Drosophila melanogaster: one gene and its partner. The protein of the gene in region 2 binds, or shares a complex with, the protein of the main gene of each other region. Each region holds a gene or a part of one and is shown on either strand. Other genes may lie near its edges.

Region 1 (7,048 bases), on a different chromosome or scaffold from region 2:
GCATCTCGATGGAATTTCAATGTCAACACAAAAAACTACCCAAGTGAACACAATCGGGAATAACAAAAGACGAGAAGGGAGAGAACAATTGTGTTTAATTTGAATAATTTTGCGTATTGTTTGCCCGCCCGTCGCCAGGCAAGTCCAGATACAATTGTATCTGTATCTAGGTATGTTTATAATATTTCTACATATATATATATATATCTGGTGTCTTGAAAAAGGTGTTAAGTTTCCGCTGAATCAACAAAACCTGACGTCAGCGGCGACTGAATAATCAAGAAAGACCCCGTAGGGGGGAAGCTCCAAAGAACCGAGGAGTGGAGATGGCTGCGTTACCCAAAACCAAAATTTATTATTGTCATGCGAATGATGCACATACATATATACATACATATATGTGACAAGAGACGTGCGAGTTGTCAGTTTCACAGGAGCCGGTCGGTCATTCTGGCCAAAAACGATTCTCAGGGTCTAATGTTGCAGCACCAAAAGCAAAAAAGCGGGCACATTAAATTCCCGTCTACCTATTACTGTTACTGTTATTGTTTTACGGCCGAAAATGATTGTTTATTTGTGCAACTCGCTCTACGGCGATAAGCCAAAGAATTTAACGAGTATAATATAAGGCCTGCGGTTTGAATTGCGATAATTGTTATTAATCATGAAGCAAAAATGCAAAAGCAAACTTCGCCTGCGTCATAGGATGACTTATACTATATATTTATATATATTTGTTCAAGCTGATAACTGCTGAAAGCTCTGCTATATGGAAACTATACTAAACTATATATATAGAGTTGTTTGTTGAGCGATCCTATGTAATAACAACTTAATTTGCTTCGTTTAATAATAGCTACTGCCAATCTAGTCTATACTTATTACTCTGAACTGTTGAAAACCAAGTTAATTTATGTGAATTTCCCTAGCACGAACCAATTCGCCCTATCTAATCAATCGCCTTGGTTACCACCGAATTGGGCACCTCAACTTGAAGGCCAAAAGATACCCCAAATCTGAAAAATGGCACAACAAACTTGGCTCTCAGACATGTCGTGTTGACCAGCCTTTATGGACAACTTCCGTTCGGCAAGGAAAATGGAACAGAACAGAAACCCACTCGCTTTAAGCCAAATCAGCAATTGGCATTGGAATTATAGCGCCCTGCTTGACCTTATCTAATCGGGGGAATTTCGGTGAGTTTAAACAGCGAATACAAGCAAATTTGGTAACGGCAACGCGTTGGTGGCACCTGTTTTATTTGCACTTTTTGTCGCGTTGGCGTTCAATTGAATTTGCCCAGCTTATCTTGGCGTACTCTGGGGCAGATAAAACGCTTTTCAACTGGGTTATGTCATTGGCAAGCATGACTAAGCCAGAAACAGAAACCGAATGAGAAACACCCATCGAAATGCAGATCCCCAATCTGTTGAAAAGCAAATTGAAGCCCTCCTGTCTTCAAATGGCGACATTTGCAATCAACAACATGAGCAAAACCCCACCCACCGATGATATCCATTAATGGCAGTCAATCGGGCGAGGTCGTTAATCGAGTGGGGGGCTGGCTAATGCCTAATTGGTAATCCATTTGTATGCACAATCAGACGCCCACGACGTCCCGAGGAAGCTTCCACATCCAAGGCAAATACAGTGCCTTCCGAAAATGTATGCCTGGGGGATCAGGACTCAAGCTGTGCGTATATTTATCGGGATTTGTCCGTCATTTTTTAAGGTAGTGACTCATTGGATGGGTCATTGTATAGTAGTTAGTTCAAGATCATCACTTTTCACTTGCAAATAATATGATATCAAATATTATTCATACTTATGAATACATTTTGATAACAATAATTTTAATACACTTGGGCTTGAATCATTTATAAATTCACAAACGAGTTCTGCTGAATAAAACTATTTCTTCCAATGAGTTTGACAGTTAAATACAACATTAAAACAGGTCTTGGCTGAAATTATGCGGCTTTATGTTAAAGCCAAGTTTGCCGGGTTTACCGTTGTATAGCCGACGCTTTTTTTTTTTTGCCGGTCTCAACCGGTTTCATGGAGTTTAGTTTGGTTTTATGAATGACGGTTAGATTGAGAGCTTGGTTTTTGGGTACAATTTAAGTGCATTCGCACCGGGATCCAAACAACTGTGCTAACTGAGCCATAAGCCAGTCATTTGCCATTATTAACATGACACACACACATATCATCGGGCATTCATCATAGGCCATATGATCATATGATGAAGTCAGCCCAGGAACACAGTGACTCATGGAAATTTATATGAATGTTGGCTCATTTTCAACGGAAACAAATAAGATATACAGACAAACGTATCTCATAATTAGCCGAGCTAAAGATCAACAAACTTTGAAGATCAGTCAGTAAAACCCTTGGCAAATGTTTGCTTCTGGGCCAAGTTAGCAGCGTTGGTTGAATCACTGAAACAAATTGGCCACGTAGAAAGCGATGCGATATATTTTAATTAAAAGCTGTTTGCATTCTGCGTGAGCTGTAAAATCGCTAATTAAATTAGGCGACACCAGATGAGGCTGAAAGAAGGTGTGGCGCGGGTGTGGGCATCGCAGTGGGCGTGGGGCTTTCTTATCAAAAAGCGCAGAGGAAAGCAAACGAACGAGAGAAGAAAGCGCAAAGAGGGCGGCAAGAAAATTGGATTATGTGGTTAAGCGGCGGCGTCTAGCAGGAATTTTTCTTCATTTGCAGCGCTCCTCCTCCCCCATCGTTCGCCTGTGCCGTTACAATAAAATTCTTGCGCGAAAAGGCAAAGTGGAACAGGCAGCCGCCAACACACACACCCATACGCTCACTCACACGCACACGAATACGAATACGCGGAGCCGAACGAATGAACGACCGAAGCGGACGAACCAAGGCGAAGGCGAAACAGCAAAATAACCGCAATGCGGCAAATGAAACGGTTATGGAAGAAAACAAGAAAAGGCAGGCGCCGATAAAAGTGACAAGCGCAAGGCGCAAAAAAAAATGAAATGCTGAAAGAAACGGAAAGAGAGAGACGCAGCACAAAACGGAACTGATAACGCAAACGAAATAATTGCACATAGAGAGAGACGAGAAAGTGTGTGAAACGGTTATGCGAGAGAGCGTCGAAACGGTTAAGCTGAGCGCAAGAGCAGGAGAAATGCCTCTAAAGAATTTTTTCACCATTTCCATGGGGCCGTGTCTAACCTCAATTTTTGCGGCCAAGTGTGCGGTAAATAAAAAATACAACCAGAAAGCAAAGAACAAGCGAACAACGAACGGCGGGGCAAAGAGGAGAGGCCAATAATGCCGGGACCGGCGACTTTGTTGTTCATCATCAATATATATTCACACATTTTCCACTGATAAGCAAAATGGAGGGCGCTTTTCTATTATTTGCGGGGATCTTTGAAAAATTGCTGATAAAAGTGCCGATGGCAACGCGTCTATGTAGGAATGCGAGTGTGTGTGTGCATAAATGCTCAACAAATTGGCTAAAATCACATTGATTTATGATCCCAAATGGTGGTGGTGGGTTGGGCAAGCAGGGGGGCTTCGAAAATGAGGTGTTGCTCGAGATGCTGATAAGAGTTTCCACTTTTCCACGCCTGATTGGGTTTCCAGGGGTATTTCTACCCGAACGTCATGGAATTATTATAGGGCGAACCCGATCGCGTCAACATTCCGTGTGCGACAGCCTTGATAAAATAAATAATAATTTTGACGAGTGACGTGACATGTGTGTAAATTCTTGCTATTGGCATTGCTATTTAATTGTGCTGCTTGTTTTCTGTGACCCTAGGGGCCAAAGTTGAACATTTGATTAAGTCAGGTTAAGAACATGAAAATCTTGCAGCTTAAATATACTAGTTTAAGTATAAACTTAATTTCAAATGATTGCATTCACTTTTTCTCAATGCAGTTTTATGGATTTTGATTATGTTTCATTGTGAAAGGGGTATAAACTACCATATTTTCAAGGGGTTGCATGGTGTTCGCAATTTCTTGTTTCTAAATCAACGATATTGGGTTGTTGAAAAAACTGGTTTTTTCTACCCGTGAGGCGATATATTTTTGGGGTGCAAAATGTAAACGAATTTCCCGGGGACAGCTGCTTTTCGACGGGGTGTTTGGTGTGCTGGGATGTGTGTAGCGAGTGTGTGTGTGTGAAAAGCCGTTAAAACCATATAAACAACGTCTAATTGGAAGCGATTCGCTCCTCCCGCTCGCACTAATGGCAATAGCCCTGGGGGTCGCTGTCTGACTTTGATTTTTCGCAAAAACTGTGGAAATTTCAATGGAAAATGATGGCCGCAGGTTGTGTAAACAGAAAATAAAGATGCACATGTTCTCCAGCCCCATAAACTTACCATTTTTGTAGGTGTTTTTTTTTTCTGTTTGTTGCTAGAGTGACGAAGTTTTAATCCGCTGCGGCTACTGCTGCTGCTTGGGTGTTGGTATGTGTGTGAGTGGAATTACGGAACGCGCGGTTAACTTTATATTTTACTAAATTAACACACTGCAAAAGAAGCAAGAAGAGGTTTGTTGGGTATTACTTTCGGGGGGTCAACTGGAGGTGGAAGAGGCTGAGGAGAAAAACTACTGCCAGCTTGGAGAGAAAGAAAAGCGTCCGTCCAAAGCACCGACGCCGACGCTTTTTTTTCTCGCCGTGGCAGTTTCTGAAATTTCTTTAGTGTTGTTGCTTCAGCCGAATTTAATACAAATTTTCGCCTTGCGTTTCTTCTTTATTTTTTTGTGGCTTTCATTCGTTTTTTTTTTCATCTATTGTGCGAAATATGCCAAACACACGCGCGCACACGGCAGAATTCTCGTTTATATAGTAGATATATGGCGGGGAGAGCTAATACATATAAGAGTTGCTCGAATTCGGTTTTTATAAAGATATTTGTTTAATTTTTTGCTCGTTGGTTTTCTTGATTTTTGGCTGGCGCTGAGAAATTGGCTTTTCCGCGAAACGTTCGCAGCTCCTGGTGCTTGGGTGTGGGCTCTTTTCGCTTTTTTTGTATTTTTTTTTTTTTTTTGTTGGCCCAATACTGCTCTCTATATGCAATGTCTGGTCTGTTTGTTCTGACAACTCACGATCCTAATCTGAATTTCCGTCCGCAACGGTCGACGACTCAAAACTTTGTGTTCAAAATAGCGCTGCGTCGCCATATATACGGTTTTATTTTGCCAGCAGCAATAGCAATAACCGCTCTCGCTCTCGCGAGAACGAACCGGGTAAGTTCGCTTTTGCAGCGGCAGCGTCTGCATGTGTTTGTTTCTGTTGCTTATCCACTCACCTTCGTAAAGCGAAAATAAGTTTGATTTCGCCGTTGTAACGGTCGCGCCGGCGCTTTTCGCGAAAATAGGTGTGTACAAAAATTGTATCAACATACTACAGGTAACTAAAGTTATAAATAATAGGAAGCTAGCTTCTGCAAAAATAAACTTATGCATAGGTTTGCCCTTGCAGTAATAGAAAAAAATGAATCAACTATGTATGTACTCACATATGTACATCTATATAAACAAATGTCTTTTTTATTGTCCGTTTATTCTAATTACCGGTTGTGATTTATGTTTATGTAAACAGTTCTTCGATTTTTAAGTTCAAATTTTAATTGACAAAAATATACTTCAAAATGTTGCAAATTTTATTCTTAACGGATAAATGTTAACGTAAATGTTAAACTAACATTCGATGTTAAAAAAAAACGAACTGTAAAGTCAGCTGTTGCAAACATATAGCATTTGCCATTGCATATGATGGGGAATTAACATACACACATACACATGTATATTATACAGCAGACAGAAATTACATACGTATACGTTATTAATAACAATGACGGTAAATTTTTCCATATATTTTTCGATTTTCGACTGAAATTGCTATACTTTTTCGAAGTGATCACCTAAAATAAATCTTCTATTTGCACACCATATTAAAAATAATTAAGAATTTTTGGACAACTTTAGATTTTGGATTTGTGAGTCCGATTAACTAACTTTCTTCGGGTGGATCTTCATTTACGACATCTTTCGACATCTGGCTGGATCTGCGCTGAGTTTCCTGGCTATTACGCGGAGGAGTATCGGACTTCCTTTCGGTCACATTACTGGCGGACTTCCTTTCCGGTCCGGAGGAGAGGAGCATCCGCTTGGTGCTGTACAGATCACCACTGCTGGCTCGCGGATCCCGCTGGCGACCAGCGAAACTCAACGAGGCTCCGTGGGTGGTGATGAAGGATGTGGGCGGTGGGGGCTCGCCCCGCTTGATGGCCTCCTTTCTCTCCTGCTCGCGGCGCTGCTTTAGGGACAGACGGGCCTCCCGCATGCGCCGCTTCACCTCACGCTCCTCGAACTGCTCCTGATCGAAGGGTGTGTCGGCCGCTGGAGGACGCGTCTGATTTATGTTTCGCTTTATGTAGGTCTCCAGCTCCTCGTCGGTCATGTTCTTGGTCTTGATCAGCTCGGTGAAGGCCATCTTGGCCTCCAGCTGCTTCGCCTGGGAGCGTTTCAGGCGATAGAAATCCTCGCGCTCGAACTCCTCCAACTCGCCGCATATATAGTTATAGGTATTTTGCAGGATGGGTATTACCTTGCGGATACAAAGTGATATTTATTGAAGATTATCCATGATAACATATGGATCATATGAATTAATTATAATTACCACATGCTCCAGAGCATTGACCCTCATGTTGGTCTGCAACGAGGCTGCCTCCAGCATTCGCACTTGGTATTCCAGAGAGGCGAACTCCACCAGTGCCTTGAGTGCCTTCGTATAGGAGTCCCTGATTCGGCTCACTTGCATACCGCCACAGCTGAGACCAGCCAGCGGAAAAGCGCCCACGCCCTTCGTCTCCAGCTCCAGGGTGTTCAGCTTGACGCCCACAATTTTGATCTCCGTGCGGCGTAGCGATACGGTTGCCACGTGGCTGCGGCTTACCATCTGCGGCTTGAAATCGGCGCCCAGAAGATTGGCCTTTGCCATCGAGAATATGGCATTGCGCATCGCCTCATCGCCGTGCATGTCCTG
Region 2 (9,067 bases):
CTATAAAACGCATTATACAAACCATTTATTATTCTTATCTCTAGTTAGTTATACACATACAACTTGTTTTCATCATATATGTGTGTTGGAAATATCAATGGGTTGGAAATGGAATATGGTTGTGTATGGATTTGCATTCATTAAATGATTATTAAAATAAAGACATACAGACAACTGAGGCAAGTATTTGTCATTGCAGAGCTGGTTTAATGTATGCATTATATGAATGAAATACGCATAAAGAAACCAATTACGATAATGAAAAGTGGATATCAGAAATCATAATTTAATTATTTCCATCGCTTAATAAGGTTTTCTACTTGTTTTGCAGAAATGGCTGAAGTTTCCGCTCAAGATTTGATATCCCAGTTGTCGAAGTCACCCGAAAGCCACAAGAGAAAGGAATATCTGCATTGGGATGACTACTTTATGGCCACCTCACTGCTCTCCGCCAAACGCAGCAAAGATCCCGTCACCCAAGTGGGCGCCTGCATCGTGGATTCCCAGAATCGGATAGTGGCCATTGGATACAATGGGTTCCCTCGCAACTGCAGCGATGACGTGTTTCCGTGGTCAAAAGCTAAGAAAGGCTCGCAGGAATTTGATCCCCTGGAAGACAAGAAGATGTACGTGGTCCACGCGGAGGCCAATGCAATCCTGAACAGCAACGGCATGAGTTTGTCTGGAACTCGACTGTATACCACACTATTTCCGTGCAACGAATGTGCCAAACTCATTATACAGGTAAAACTAATATTAACGAAGGAAGCCGAATATAGGATTTCTGTTCTATTATTTGAAATGCAACTTTAATATTTTCATATGGCAGCTGTATAATTTAGTCGTCCTATTTTGATAAAATGAAAAACGAATTAATATATGGAAAAACAACGGTTGTGTACAAAATTACACCAATATATGATCACAAACATGGAAGCACAATCTTTCCAATAGTTTCACGGCTTCAAAAAGGTTTTAAGTTTTTCGTTAAAACGAAAGGACGACCAAACGGACGGCAGCTTTATGAACTCATCTTCTAAAATTGATCAAGAATATATAGTACATACATATCATAACATATAAATTAACCTATTTGTATTCCAGGTGGGCATATCTCAGGTGCTATATTTGTCCGACAAATATGCCGATAAGCCCACATATCGTGCATCCAAGCGGATGCTGGATGCAGTGGGCGTGGAATATAAGCGACACATCCCCCAGAAAAAAACGATCACCATTGATTTTGACACCTTCCCGGAAGAAGATCCGAATGCATCCCTGGGACTAAACGAACTCCATTTGTAATGTACTAATACAATCTTAGCTATCTTGACAACTTTTAATGTGTTTAAAGTAAATTTGACGTGATCGGACTAAATATGTAGACAAATGATAAATAAATTTAATAGCATGCTAATTAAGTTATACTTAGTTTGGCAGTACTAATATAAATAAAAAAATACAGTTTAACTAAAAAGCAAAACGTAAAACGATGTTCTTTTCTATCTGTGAGTCAGAAAAATGCTTCGGAAAATGAGTTCCCTGTAATCGATATTAAAATCAAAATCCAGTAAATCATTGAATCTGACCACTTCCTTTGACGTTTGTTCAAATATGTTCGTAAAAGTATAGTCAAAATCAAAAGCAGAACTTATCTAGATCCCAAAACGTACATATTCTAACCTAATAGGGAATAAAAAACAATAGTTTTTCGTTGAGTATTGCTCCTTTTTTGCAGAGCATAAACGATTAGACGCTTCATTTTATCCGCACGCAAAGATACTTAAAATGTTTTTTAATTAGTACCCATTTGGGAAGAGTGTTCACTTGCACTAATTGACTTGGCAAACAGAAGACTGTCAGGTGAGACTCTTAGCATGCACAGGTGTCCACCGGAGACCAAAAGCGCCATGGAAGTGCTCTACTCAGGTAAAAGTACATGGTATTTTCATATTGAATCTTGGAATTAAATCCCATAATTCATTCCTAAAAAGTTAAATTAATAATTATACTGATCGAAAATTAAAAACAGGGTATATGTGTAATGGAAACTACTCTGTGCCACTTTATAGCTCCGTAATTAAAGGACCTTGAAAATTCTATTGCTGGCCCACACATTAAATTAATTAAGTTAGCCACTTTTGAACTTTGATGTTGTGTTGGCTAAAAATTCGCATGCAGCCATTTTAAATACCGGGCTGAGCAAAATGTTTATGGGATGTTTTTCAATGGCATGCCAGCACGAAGGAGCTCCCACCTGACCAACCAGCCAACCAGGCCATTCAGGTGAGAGTGGCGTGCGGCCAACCGGCCAACCGGCCATTAGCACTGGAATATGCAAAACAGTGCGCGAAACAGGACGAGGATGCCAATAAGAAGAACAGCGAGGATACTCGACCTATCGGAAATCGCCGAGTGACCCTTACTAGCCTCCATGCACTATTGTCTGCAGGCTGCATTGAAACGTGTCCGGCGGATTTCAATATCGGGCCACAAGGTAAGAACCGGTTATGCAGAGAAGATGGGTCAAGCTGGCTGGTAAAGTAAAGTGTTTTATTGTTGAGGTGGAAAACGAAGAATTAGAGTTTTCGTCTATTTGACTTACATTATTCTTTCCTACACCTAAACTAACTCAACAATTCCACTAGCTAAAATCTTTCCGGCTTAAAGAGTTCTGAAGAAGTGGAAGTCTAAGGAACAACACGGACGACCATCTAATCGTGTATCTTAGGCATGTAGAATCAGGGGATTAGTATCTGAAAGGCTGTGTATCTTCATCTGGCCCGGCTTCTTGTTTGTATTTGTATGCATAGAATGCAGACAAAGTTTACCAATTGCAACGGAAACTTGTGCCGCACGCACATCTGCTAACTGAATTTGAAGTGGGACCGAGCATTCCGTAATCACTAATAGCAGGTTAGCCGCTCTGGGCCCTAATTGCCATTAAAGTTAAAGCTACGACCAACGAAAACCCCAAAATCGTGAAACCACCGTGAAGGAGCAAGGGGACAGCACTCATTTTGGGGCTTTCGTGAGTTTCAGCTACAAAATCCCCTCGAGGCCGGAGCCCCAAAATCACACAGAATGGCCAACGGAAGGCTTGGCGGCACTTGGACTATTAAAACACATACGAGTATACGACACCCCAAAGGCCATGGAACCGAGCAAATAATCAATATAACTACAAGAACGGAACCATAACAGAGCTCTGGGTTTTGTGTAACGATAGTGGAACATATCAACAGAATATCAAGTCACACGGCGCACTTGTTGGTTATAACCATCGATCCTCTTCTTTTCTTTTTGCAAACAGGTGCCAGAAATGCTCGGCTGAATATTGCAAAATTCATTAAATAGATAATTATAATATTACATCTGCAATTGATTCCAAGATATTATATCCCATGAATCTTGTACATATATGAAGTAGTTTTTTAAGCGTATTTAAGTCTATCATTTTCATATTACTATTTTTATCATAAATTTTAAAACTTAAAAAAAGGAATAATATCGAATGATGAAATACTTTTTCGTTTGTTCAACAATTAAAGATGTACATACGTATCTTGAAGAAGAAACCCCTTTAATCTAAAAAAAATCTGTCTTAATGGCTTTTTGTTGATTCCCCTATTTAGTATTACTTCTTCTTTCCCAAACAACCAGCATCAGCCGCACGTCTGGTTGAAGTTTTAACTGGAAGATGCATATCATAAATTCAAAATGCAAACACGAGGACGTTATCAAACTTGGCATCTTTGGATTAGCATCGCTGCTCTGCTCGCTCTCTGGGTTGCACAGAAAGAAAAATATTGATTGATTTCACAAATGGCTGTTATTCAAATACTAACCATTTACATTTGGTTTCATATTTATGTTGCCTTTTCCTTTAATACTAATTACGCAGATGAAACAATTGCGAAATTCGTTAACAATTTAAGGAATAGATATACCCGTGCTATTTCCAGTGTAGATGAAATGGATAGAAGAGAGCGAGAGAGCCGTGCGCAGCCTCCGCTGCAAAATGAACGGGAATGGCAATGAAACGGGGCAATCAGCTGATGCGGCCATCGCTCTTTGTTTTGCTTTCGGGCAGCATGGCGATGGCGGCGAATATGGCGAGAGTGGGAGCGAGTGAGAGGTCGGCGGCGACGCCGGCCGTGGCAGCAGCAGAGCCTTTGGCAGCGACGGAGGCAGCAGCGGAGGCCAAAAAGGATTTCCGAGCTTGTGGCCTGCGTTCAGTTTGTAACGGTATTCCACGCGCCACGGACGCTCGAATAACAAAACGTCGCGCTCCCGACGATCCGTACCCGTACACCAGTACGTATACGTAATGCTCTCCGCACAGAACGCGCTATTTCCGAACCAAAAGCAGCATATGCCTTTGCCATCCCTCCTCTCCCGTCTTTTGTGTTCTTCTGGTTATATCTGTCACCGCGAGAATTTTTGTGTGTGGCTTCATTTAATGCCTTTTGCCGCCTTCTAGATGACATATGTATGTATATGTACATTTGTATATGCATGCATGTACATATCTTATTGTCATCGCTGTTTATCTCTCTTTTGGACCGACCAATTTTCTGTGTTTGTTTACGCTCACGCCTTCATGTTATGGCCACTTGTGCCGCTGGCACGGAATGGTCGCATCCTTAGTGCCGACAGAACTTTCCAACCGAATGGCTTTTTTTATTCGCGCTCTTCCGTTTAGTGCGTCGTTTTGCTAAATTACTAACAAATTCCACGCATTAAATCGGATCAGCAAAAAAAAAGTAAAATCGACCGGCGCGGCGGATGGGAAACACTCGAAAATATACTCACATACAAATGTACATATATGCGAAAGAACATGCATTTCCATACGTTCTATACACACATGTATAAATAGTACTGCTATCAAATGTACACCGAAAAGAAAAGCTGTATTCTATGAATTCAAATAATGCAAAATAAGCTGAAGGGAGAGTTCGTGTTTCTACTTCTTATTTTAAGATATTTTAGCATATTCCATATATTCCAGTCAATTTTTTTAAATGATCCATTAGAACAATTTACAAAATAAAAACTGCTACAAACTGAAAATGTTTTTAGAAAAAAATGGTGTCACTTTTTCGGCCCAAGATATATTTCGTGGTTTTTTAACTTATGTTGCCAAAGAGAAGGTCTGGTTGAATGGAAAAAATAACACGGAATGAAATCGAAGGCGATGACAGCTAGCAGACAAAGAAATGAGGCAAGGAGCAAATTAATAATATATAAACGATTCCATTACAATCCAGAGGTGTTTGCCATATGAATTACTCATGATATTTTGTGTTTCACACGAGTAAGCGCAATATTTGTCTAGTCCACTTATCCATTTGCCTGTTCGTATGTTTATTACGTATACGACAAGTATTCTGCTAAGATACAAGTATGTATATTTCTTACCCATTTGGCGGTGTGAAAACTTTTTTCGAAATTGAGGACACACAAGTGCAGTGTTTTTAAAACAAACAAGGAAAAGCAATAACAAAAGACTAAGCAGAGCAGACTAGGGGAAAAATGTAAATTAAAAGCATTGGGCTACTCAAAGGTGATGAAATTTCAGAGAAATACTTTAAGTGACTTTAGTGAAACTATCATTTGTACAAATTTATTTAAGCAAACAACATAAAGCTTTTAATATATTTATCGAATTTCTATTCAAGCTTAGACAATTTCTTGATGTTTGTTTGAACTATTATTATTGAATTTTTCGTTACATTCAAGGCACATTCTCTATTTCAAGAATATTTCTAGAATCATTGGTTTACCTTATTGGCCCAATCAATAGTATGTAGATTTCTACGGCCAATTTGTATAGCAATTAAAAGAAGAAATTCTGACATTCCATACCCGTAAACCCAACTTAACTTGAACGCAATTTGTTATGATACAAGAATAACACCGAAACATGGAAGTGTTCATAAAAACAAATGCACGGACACGTTTGTATGTATGAATTGAATGGGGGATTGAATCCGAGTTGGAATTTATTAGGTCCCTTACCGTGTGCCCGCTTCCTTGTACCACATTCATAATTTGGGGCCACCTGCCCACTCGGATTTGGGCCAATTGGCGGATGGCGGGTGGCGTACGGCTGGAGGATTAGCAACCGCCCAACTCCTGGAGGTTGTAAAAGTGACTGAATGGGAATGAGTTTTATGTGCCTCACAGGCAACAAATCTCGATGACGTCTGGCATTTGATTTCGAGCCTTTTTTCCCTTCGCTCTTTGTTTCCTTGGGATTTAGTTGCTTTTATTCGTGATTTCGTTTATTTTTCCCACAGTTCGGTTGAGTTGCTTTTTATTTTTTCGCACGAATTCCCGGCGGTTTCTTTTTTGGTAGTCGCACGCCAGCAGCCCCAAAAATTCTCACCACTTCCGATTAAATTTTTTTTGTTATGGCTTTTCCGTTTCCGTATCCCCAGTTTTCCACGGTCACCGAAAAACTCGTAAAGAGCAGCTCCTCGGAGTTCTTGTTTCTGGTGTTTTCTTAGCACGAAATGCCAATTTAGAGTCATTTAAATTGGGTAGAAAGTTGCGGCAAGAAAAGTCTGCCCACAGTCCACAATGTTGGCTCGAATTAAGTCGGGTGTTCGAAAGTTTTGTTGCCAGTCGACGGAAATCGGACTAAAACCGAAAAGCAATTAACTTAAGGCTGATAACCAAGATGCTTTTGGTAATAACATACATAAGTACGGATAAATTGGAAAATAATTACAAGTTTTGGGAGATACATCTTCCTGAAATTTAAGCTTTAAAAGTATAAAAAAGTTATTTACTGCCATAATTTCTTATGTTTATTATTTATTACTTTAGATACGCACACTCTTACCACGCCTGTATTGTATTTTCAAATGAAATGGCAAATTTTTAAAGCTGTACCAAGATATATATATTAAGGTGTATTTAATTTAAAGTTTTGAAGTTTTAGGCTTGGGATTGAAGTAATAACAATCCAATTAGTTGCATCAAACCAAAAAGCAGAAGGGTATTAGAAGAATAGCGGATGGAACTTAAACCAATCCCGCACGATGAGTAACCGTCGCTAAATGCGTTTACCCAAACAAGATAAGAAATTTAAAACTCTTAACGAAAATCGATTAAATTAAGCAGTTTAGCTTCCATCCCCCGAGGAGCCGAGGTGCCGTCATTTTCACGCCTGATTTGTTAACCAAAACGATGGCATAAGGTCGGTATTCGGATACTTTTCCATGGCAATTAAGCCGCAGTGTTGGCTCACATCTTTTGCGCTACACTGGGAGAAAAGCTCTCTCCTCGCCATTCCTCCTCAAACACATTTGCACCTACTCGCACGGAAACCATAAACGTTTCCCACTTTTAGACTCGTTTTACAGCTCTTGAAATATATCCTTTTCATCGAATCCTTCTCTTAAATTTCATAGTCATCGTGAAGAAAGGAATATAAAAGCTTTATTTCAGAACCTCAATCAACGGATTGCCTCATAAGCGATGCAATCGAGCTCAAGCATATTTCAAATATACTCTTTCTTAAAGTGCCAACTCATCTTTTGCATATATGGTATATTCTTTTTCGAGTGTATTTGGTGTGAATAAATCATGTTTCTTACAGCTGGCTAGAAATTCTAGTCCATATGGCTGTAGGTGTCGGCGCCCAACGCTCAATCTGCGTTAATTCCCAATTTGGTTTATAAATAAAAGAACAAATCGGTCCTTAACGATGACGAGCATCGGCATCCGAGCTGACATCATTCCAAAGTCGTTAAAACTGCCGCCCTGTTAATGGCTACCCCAAAGGAGATTTCGGGTAGTAAAAGTGCAAAATTGAACGGAACACCTTTATGGGCAGCGCGTGAAGCGGCAATAGGTCCTTGCAGGTCCTTCGGATCCCTACCTATTACCATATATATACAACTAGTACCACGTGCCCTCTTACAAATTGACTGGGGCAACTTAATTAGTAGCGTAGGCAAACTAAATTACCTGTCGAAGAATTTGAGTGAATCAACTTCACGACTGACCTTGTGAGTGCCCGTAATTAGCTCAACAATTTGCAACGAAAAGAATGAAATCAAATTAGCAACACACTCTGCGAAATTGGCACTAATGCAAACTGTTTTTAATGCTTTTATCTCATGAAACAGAATGCAGTTTTGGGCATCATTTGCTGGCTACCAATTTAAAATGTCGAAACTGACAACGATGATTTCAAGGGAAGTGTTTTTAATAGAAAGAATAAATATTAAGTGCTATGCAATCACGAAACAATAAACGAGCATATGAATATTGACATATTTATTGTTCAACTTTATTGATAATTGAATAGATGCATAAACTCATCCAGAAAAATTGGGAACGACAAAAAACCGAGCTTACTCATTCTCGTGAAATGAAACTTTCTCAATTTCGAGACGAAAACGATCTCAATGCTGATATTGATATATGATATATGATATATGATATATGATATATGATATATGATTGCTCTCATTTGCAATATGAGAATGGTTTAATCTCGATCTAAGTATTTGAGCATGTTTCGATTTTGGCTAGATTCTGAAAGCGACATACTCAAACCAAGATCGTTATAAAGCGGTTTTTCTCTGAATGAGTACTTAAAATAATAAAGTACTCAGTTGAAATACGTTAAATTAAATTTCCCTTTGGGAAAACAAAGGCCAATCGAAATGGTTTATCTTTCGTCTCCAATGTGCTGGGTTTCAACACCCCCCTCCCCCCAAATTTTAGATATTAAACAAATGGCTGTTTGCCCGTACATTTATGCAGCCACCGGCTCTCACCGACTTGAAACATTATCTTCAGTAAATACTAACTTAATTGCTGCCGGACTCCCATTCCCGTAGGCGATGTTTGCGGAACTGAAATGAACCGAAATGCGGGCAAATTTACTGATTGTCACACAGGCTGACGTGCAATTTATCGTAATTGAGTCAGGGCAACAATCATTTTTTGATCGCTCCACACACACGCACACACACTCGCACACACTTGGGGAAAATGCTGGAAAGTGGGTGGGTGGTAAGAGTTGGGTGATGTCGAGAAAACC

The links.
Region 1: the proteins of rdgC (region 2) and Cam are in contact, whole or in part, in a crystal structure (PDB 8ZLW), measured with the Drosophila melanogaster proteins. Residues at the interface, in NP_788546.1 of Drosophila melanogaster: Asp2, Glu3, Asn4, Ala5, Ile6, Arg7, Ala8, Ala9, Ile10, Phe11, Ile12, Gln13, Lys14, Trp15, Tyr16, Arg17, Arg18, His19, Gln20, Arg23; in NP_001246276.1 of Drosophila melanogaster: Glu12, Glu15, Ala16, Leu19, Phe20, Leu33, Met37, Leu40, Met52, Glu55, Val56, Phe69, Met72, Met73, Arg75, Ser82, Glu84, Glu85, Ile86, Glu88, Ala89, Val92, Phe93, Ile101, Leu106, Val109, Met110, Leu113, Glu115, Lys116.

Annotation. Positions count from the first base shown.
Region 1 is NT_033778.4:12,257,514-12,264,561, reverse strand, and holds the start of Cam (calmodulin), read right to left. Parts: upstream 5,165-7,048; 5' UTR 5,104-5,164; intron 4,531-5,103; exon of another isoform or gene 4,523-4,530; 5' UTR 4,377-4,522; coding exon 4,374-4,376; intron 4,287-4,373; exon of another isoform or gene 3,749-4,286; intron 19-3,748; exon of another isoform or gene 1-18. Other genes in the region: Vha36-2 (vacuolar H[+] ATPase 36kD subunit 2), read right to left, coding at 6,011-6,607, 6,683-7,048. UniProt on the Drosophila melanogaster protein: Calmodulin mediates the control of a large number of enzymes, ion channels and other proteins by Ca(2+). Among the enzymes to be stimulated by the calmodulin-Ca(2+) complex are a number of protein kinases and phosphatases.
Region 2 is NT_037436.4:20,243,834-20,252,900, forward strand, and holds the start of rdgC (retinal degeneration C), read left to right. Parts: upstream 1-4,246; 5' UTR 4,247-4,492; intron 4,493-4,794; exon of another isoform or gene 4,795-5,227; intron 5,228-9,067. Other genes in the region: CG6951 (uncharacterized protein), read left to right, coding at 334-744, 1,105-1,305. UniProt on the Drosophila melanogaster protein: Phosphatase required to prevent light-induced retinal degeneration.